2 linked regions of the Schizosaccharomyces pombe genome follow. Changing the gene in region 1 together with any one later gene gives a genetic interaction. Each region holds a gene or a part of one and is shown on either strand. Other genes may lie near its edges.

The links.
Region 2: of grc3 (region 1) and las1, extra expression of one rescues a mutant of the other (dosage rescue), as found in Schizosaccharomyces pombe (one study listed by BioGRID).

What each region holds. Positions count from the first base shown.
Region 1 is NC_003421.2:2,181,782-2,185,712, reverse strand, and holds the start of grc3 (polynucleotide kinase Grc3), read right to left. Parts: upstream 2,114-3,931; 5' UTR 1,907-2,113; coding exon 1,873-1,906; exon of another isoform or gene 1,796-1,872; coding exon 1-1,795. UniProt on the Schizosaccharomyces pombe protein: Polynucleotide 5'-kinase required for both rRNA processing and heterochromatic gene silencing.
Region 2 is NC_003423.3:4,351,859-4,355,789, reverse strand, and holds las1 (rixosome complex/ Las1 complex endonuclease Las1), read left to right. Parts: upstream 1-1,679; 5' UTR 1,680-1,714; coding exon 1,715-3,127; 3' UTR 3,128-3,247; downstream 3,248-3,931. Other genes in the region: sec27 (coatomer beta' subunit protein), read left to right, coding at 1-1,222; rpl3201 (60S ribosomal protein L32), read right to left, coding at 3,511-3,894. UniProt on the Schizosaccharomyces pombe protein: Required for both pre-rRNA processing and heterochromatic gene silencing.

The sequences.
Region 1 (3,931 bases):
GAGGCAGTGTCGCAGGCATAAAGTGCCATTAAAGTACCATTAATAGTTTTCGCGACATCATTAACATTAAGAGGTTCACCTATAATATTAACAGCATCTATTCCCTTAGAAGATCCCTTAAAAGCTGTGGCTATAGGTTGACAAGCTGTCAAACTTGTCGTAAAGTCCCACCTCTGTAAATTGCAATTGAAATACAGATAGGAAAGTAAGCCTAACATACGATTATCAGCAGAGGTAACCTTGTTAACGTTGGGATCAGGCAGATACTGCCAAGTTGATTCCAAGAGGGTAAGTTGAAACTCATCTCTGCTTGAAAGAAAATCAGGCATATATTCTTTGTGCTGGTAAATACTCTTTTTTTCACGATGACTTGATTTCATGTCTTCACGACTCATGTATACAACTTCTGTTGGTTGACATATATCAACAATAGAAGAAAGAAGCTCAGCACCACCCCCTCTGATCCAACCTGGACAATTTATTATCAAAGGAATAATCTCCTTTTGGGATATCTCTTGATTAAAAATATAATCTTTATATTCAGCAAAAAGACGAGTAACACAAGCAATGTAATGATCCGGATCTTTCTGGGGACTTATATCTCCGAGATGCAAACGTAACATGTAAGTAGGAAAGAGCATTCGGGCGAAAACAGGTCCTTGCAATGGTGAGTTAATATAATATAATGAAATGTGCCCAGAAGGTACGACTTCGGGTTGACCAGGGTCGAGGTCAAGATATGCAATGTGACGATACTGCTGTAAAAGCCTATTGGTGATGTATCGTGAAAAACTGCTTTTACCGGATCCTTTAGGTCCACAAACCATAAGACGAGGAACAACATAGTCTGACTTGGAAGTGGAAAACAGTAACTGGTTAGAAAAAGAACACCAAGACTCCGGAGTTATCTCAAAATTATTTGATATTGATGAGGCATCTTGCAAAAGATTCTTAAAAGAAAACAAACGCTTTGCAAATGGAAGGACACGAGCTATCTTAGAGAGACCATTTTCATTTTCTCTAAAAGCTATTACAGTTTCAAAATTTGGGAGAATATCTTTGGGCTCTAATTCATATTCATGCTCTTTTGGTGAGTAAGAGGGAACTGCAAAGGAACGAAGGTTAAGGGAATCTTCTTCATATTCGGAAATCTGCATAGCAGGTAATGCATTGTCTATAGCAGAAAATACTGGTGTCGCAAATGCTAACGGAGCATTTAAAGGAAACCAAGACATACAAGCTGAAGAATAGGTTGCACCAAAGAGCTGAAACTTCCCTCTAACGCTACGAAAAATGAAGGTACCAACCATTGCTAATTTTTGATCTTTATGTAATCCAACGTATAGCGTATCTTTAACCCTGAATGAATTTTCTTCCGTAATTTTAATCACCGGAATGGCATCGTTAGACGATTGTGGGCTATGTGGAACGTTTTCACTTACGGTTTCGTCGTCCAAGTTTAAAGGTAAACTCGGAGAAATCGTTTGAGGACTAGCAACTGAGAATTCAGAGTATTCCTGAGGATTAACCTTGGACCTATTTATATCAGGAGTTATTTCAGAATCATTCTTGGATGACTCTGAATGGAGCTTTGTTCTATGATCAACTCCTGGGACAACCACTTGTACGAGCGTGTGCTTGTAAGAAGGAAATTCGCCTTCAGTTTTCATTTCGTCTTCATATTTGTCTTGGCTTTCTTCTTCCGAAACGCTGCGCTTTTTCCCCGATGAATTGTCTTTCTTTCTGGCTGCTTTACTTAAAGTCAATTGACGCACAGCGAATGCACTGAGTGGAACTGTCATAGAACTGTTAGAATATTATCCTAGAAAAGATATAAGAGAGCCAATACTTAAGACTAACTAAGACACTTACCATTTGAGCTCTCAATACGTTGACGCTTGACCATTATGGTAGAAGCTTATTAAATAAATAACTAAGTTTTCCTTTTTTTTTTTAAAAGTGCAATTCACACGAATGTGAACAAGCAAGCGCTTTGGATCTTAATTCAATTAACAACAATCCACCATAAACTAACAATCAATAACAAAAGTTAATTTAGAAAATTTAGCTATGTTTTGTAAACAGATAATAAAATTTTTTCTTCTTATTGCACAGCGAGAAAGAGTAAATAGAGGAAATACCAAGTAAAGTACGATATCTGTAATTTGGGAAATAGTGATTAACGGTATATTTTTATAACAAAATGTAACAGCACGGTATTCCTTTTTTGGTAGTAACATAACGATAATACCAGCTTGCTTTAACTAGTAGCTTCTTATTAATATTGAAACAATGAAGAATTAATCGTTATACCTTGAAAAAAAGGAAAGAATATAATACTCGTTAAAAATCAGTTATTGAAGTTAATAGATATTTAGACTATAACTGTAGTGATAATTATAATTGGGACGAACACCCGAGTTTTTTTTATTCTATCAGTTGACCCAACAGTTAGGTTATGAACTGTTGCTTTCGATGTGGATAAAAGTATTAGAATATAAATCATTAGTCTCTTTGATTTATATATTGAAAATTTCCACAAAATATGTGTCAATCAAAGTCATATCGCCCACTCAGCTTATGCATCATTAGGAAACTCAACATAAAACCAGTATATACGTTTACTGCGTTATTAGATATTCACTATTGCAATGTGTCTTTAGGTTATTACTATAACAAACCATCGTTCTGAATCACAATATTTTATTATGCTATTCATTATTTTGTAAACATTAATTTTGTTTGAATTGAACCATTAAACAAAAAGAAAAAATGATAATTAAGCTTGATTCATTAAGAATCAAGATGAAGGAGAAATGAACGTAATAACGACAATGAAATTGTGAATTTAACAAGGCGGAACAACGAGTTTTTCGATTTCATTAGTTGATTTTAAGTTGTCGTAAACAATTTAAATCATTATTGTTTGTGACTTGAGTTCCATTAAAAAAGACAAATAATTAGACTCGCATACATAATAAATAAAGACTCGGTCCTCAATGCACTTTATCCAACATCGTAGAATACATTGGTTGGCAATTTTTGGTAATTGAAAGAATAAGTTAAGCATATATTCCATAACCTTATAGTGAAAGAGGATGATTAAAGAAAATTGGTGCTTATTTTTAAAAAAGCCGCAGCTTCTCTGCGTTGGTAATTTTGGTAAAGAGGTTTTCCAACTGGAGCGACAACTACATTAATAACGCAATTAGACTTCGCTTTCAACTTCCATTTCCCCCAAGGGAATGTCATTATTATCGTTGGCACCTCTAATCGCTCTCCCTGCACCTTCTAATCGGGTAAGTAAAGAATCATTCATACAGTTGGTTGAATACACATACCTAATATAAAAGCTATACCATTCCTGATAAATTTGGGCATCCTTTTGAGAGCACCTGGACATTCTGATACGATTAGAATAAATTACAGGAATATTAAACAAACCCATTTCGTAAAAGAAAAGAAAATTGCCTATAACAAAGAGTGAAGAGGCTACAATTTCGTAGCCTGTCCCGTCGATATGTTTGTCAAATAAATGCATCAAACCTTTCGTTACAATAACGACACAACTTTGTACACCTAGAACTTGAAAAAACCCAGAAAACATATGCTTAAGTGTCCAGAATGGAAGACGAACTGCGTGTTAGCGGTCAGTAATGGTAACTACATAACTTCACATACCATATAATAAAAATAAAAGTAAAGCAGCTGAAATACTGCATGTAGAACAGATGAGAGTCTTGTCTAAGTTCACATTACCGAATTTGACGCAACCAAAGAGTACAAAACAAATGACTACCCATAATAACCAGATTATTACAACCCATTTTTCCCTTGAGTTGTACAAGCCGACCGCAGTTACCTTGACACATTGTGCCACTGCCTGGTCCAAGTTTCAAAGAAGCCTAATGAGTTAGTGAATGAACGTAAG
Region 2 (3,931 bases), on another chromosome or scaffold:
AGCACTTGATTTTGCTTGGTCTGCCGATTCTAATGTCTACGGTAGTCGTACATCGGACCGTTCAATCGTAATTCACAAGAATTTTAAAGAAAGCAATAGATTAGATTTGTCCTACTCTTGCGACAAGATTTTTGGCGGCTTTCTCTTGGGAGTTGTGGGAAGTGATTTTATTTGCTTCTATGATTGGGATACTGGCATTTTAGTTCGTAAAATTGATGTTAAACCCAAAGGAGTTTATTGGAATGATGATGGCAGATTTGTAATTTTAGCTTGTGATGATGACTTTTACCTTCTCGGTTTTAACGCTGAAATGTTTTATAGTGCTGTGGAAAGTGGTACAGCAGATGAAGAGGAAGGTGTTGCTGATTCCTTTGAAGCACTTGCTGATGTTTCTGAAAGCGTAGTAAATGGCAAATGGGTTGCTGAAACTTTCATTTACACAACTACTGCCGCTCGCCTAAACTACTTGATCGGTGACCAAACTTACAAAATCGCTAACGTTGAAAGTAGTTTTTATTTGCTTGGCTATATTCCACGTGACGATCGTATTTACCTCACGGATCGTGATATGAATGTAGTGAGCTACTCTTTCAACCTTGCCATTATTGAATATCAATCACTGGTACTAAAGGGCGATTTAGAGGCTGCTCAAGGTCTTTTGGAGCAAATTTCTGAAACAGACCGTCCTCGTTTGTCTGACTTTTTGTCCCGTTTAGGATACAAGGAAGCTGCATTAGAGTTATCTGGTGATTCTGTACAGCGGTTTGAACTTGCATTAGACGCTCAACGATTGGATATTGCTTCTCAAATTGCTCAAGAATTAGATGATCCTCTGAAATGGCGTTCTTTGGGTGATGCTGCCTTGAATGCTTGGGATTTTGTTTTAGCTCAGGAATGCTTTGAGAAAGGTAAAGATTATGGATCTTTGGTTTTACTTTATACTGCAACCAACAATCACGAGGGTCTCAAAGAGTTATCGCAACTCACTAAGTCCACAAAGATAAATAATACAGCTTTCATCTGCTCATGGCTTACAAATCAACCAGCGGAATGCGTCAATATACTTACATCTACTCAACGTTATCCTGAAGCTAACTTGTTTGCTGCTACTTACTGCCCTGACGAGGTTAAAAATGTTCTTCCAGAATGGAAAGTTGACTTAACTAAGAATCAAAAAGAACGCATTGCGGATTCTTTGGGTGACTTGGAACTTAAAAATTAAGTAATACAACATTGGAACGCAAGTATTTTGACAGACACAGTATTTGTCTAAGTAATATTTTCACGTTTCCTAATTTGCATACTGATAATACCTTCAATCTGTGTTACGAATCCGTACGGTCGTACGTTTCACATACAATTTCAAATACGACATCTTCTGGTTGAGGCAAATATCAATGCTGTTACCACCTTTCGTTTGTAGATATTATTGCCGGTTATAAACATTTTAGCCATCATAAAATATCGATTTACTTTGTGATAAAAGTGCTTCAAATAGTTAAAGTTTGACACTACAAGTGTTAGTGAGACAGAAATGAATAGTTAACAAAGTGCATTTTTGCATACCAAATATCCAGACATGAATTAATTAATTTTACCAAATCGTATCAATAATATACTGTAAAAGCTAATACAGGATTTTCCTCTCGTATGTGATGTCTATAAGTAAAGTATCGCTTAGCCAACTACCAACACTTGTCATGAGTTTTTAAAAATGGACATGAAAGTCGTTCCATGGAGATTAAAGGAAGATTTCCTTTACTTAATGTCTTGCTTTTATAATGAAGGACAAGAAGGAATACCTGATTTAGCTGCTTTGTTTAGAGGTGTTGAAATTATTCAGGCTTGGTCAACCCGAGGTCGTATTCCCCATTCAGTGGAATCAACGTCGCAATTAGTTTCATCTTTAATAAGTAATGACCGATCGCAAAAGCTAGCATTAGCTGTTTCAATATCTAGATTTGTAAGTGGCTTGTTGGATCCTATCCAGCAATCGCAGTACGCCATCCCAATGGCTGTTTTAGCCAAATCAATTGATTTACCTACTTATTTTGTCGAATTGAGACACGCCATTACTCATGAAGAACTTCCTTCTCTACCTGTTTTAAGACAAGCTGCGCAACGAGCATTATCATGGCTTTATGATCACTACTGGAATCCCGCTGCAACAGCTGAATCCGAAGATACATATGACTACACCGAAACTAATGAATTGCATAAGTTCGAAATAAAAAGAAAAGTCAAAGACTTATTGAAACAATGGCGTTCCTGGAGAAAGGTTAATGTTTCTGCAAATATGTTTCTACCAGTAGAGGAACATGACTATATTCAACAATTTGAAGCATTAGTACAGGAGTTGGTAACAACAGCTAATCTGAGGTTACCTTATATCCCAGCTTCTTTCGTCGATGATGAAAAAGATTTGGATTTTGCAATAGAGACTACAAATCTAGATATTGTCGTCAGCTGTTTCTTGGAAAAGCGTGTTTTAATACCCTCCAGAACTATGCCAATCAGCTTTTTTCCAAAGCTTAAAAATGTATGGCTGCCTCTGTTACAAAGTATAGCTTCGAAGCATTCATTCTTTTTACCTGCATTATTTACAACCTTGTGGTCTGAAATTTTAGAGATTAGCCAAACCGTTGATTCTTTGGTATTTCTAGACCTCAAGGAGAAAGAAGAATTAACCGATAAAGAATCTGCTGGTTGCTATTTAGCAAAATGGTATGCTTATTTAATGCGTGAAGCGTATACAGGTCAGCCATGGACCAGTACTTTATCTGTGACTCAAACAGATTTGGCTTCCGTTTTAGAAATATGTCTTCAAAGAAGTGATCCCTTCACTAAGATAATTATTGATGAATTGTCAATTCTAGATAAAGAGCTGGAAAATAAGTTTTCTCCCTTGTTTCAATACCGCAGCGATATGTTTGATTCCCGAATATTGGACGAACAAGAGTTTGAAGACATAACATTAGAACAAATGAAAACGGAATTGAATAAATTTTCAGTTCGTTTAAATAACATTGAAGCTCAAGCTGACTCCAGTACTATGGAGTTTCAAGGTCATGTGTGGTATAAACCAAGCGTCGAGCCATCCCCCATCGGTCAAATAATCGAAAGTTAAAAAAAAAATTATATGTGTATATAAGGAAAGCTAGGTTGAATAGAGTTTATTTGGGTCTATATACACGAGGGTAATCTTGGGTCTAAAATAATAATATTAAGTTGCTGAATTGAGTATGGCAAAGCAAATTAAGTAAAATATAAGTACAATAGATGCCGTTTTGAATAATAGGTTGCACGTGATGATAGACGTGCGACTTACTTATATCGTGTAAATGCAGGTACGAGACTATTTATTCTAATTGAATACGACTCAAATAATCTGAACAATATACTTATATTACCAACACATTTTACTTGACATTATTACGAAATTGGGAATTTACCCATTTTACATGGCCACTTATGTTAAATTTTATGAGAGATTGGAATAGCTTTTTAAATTTATTCTTGAGAACGAACTTTAGCGCCGGCATTCGTGACTTTGACACCCAAAGCACGAGCCTTCTCAACAATCTCAACACGCTTGCGAGCAGAAACATTGGAAGCAATCTCGGCTGCATAAGTCTTGTTGTGCATCAACAAAAGTTCGACATCAGAGACATTGCGAACAAGGAAAGCTTTGAGACCATTAGGCATGCAATATCTGGTCTTCTTGTTGTTACCATATCCAATTTTGGGCATTGAAATAGTACCACGGAAACGACGACGGACGCAACTGTCGATACCTCTAGGCTTCCTCCATGATTCACCAACACGCTTGAAGAGGTCAGATTGATGGCGCTTGAAGGGCTTAGTGCGCTTTTTGACAATGTTGATTGCAGCCATGTTTTCGACCGTTGCAGTGGAAAAGGAACCAAGTAAA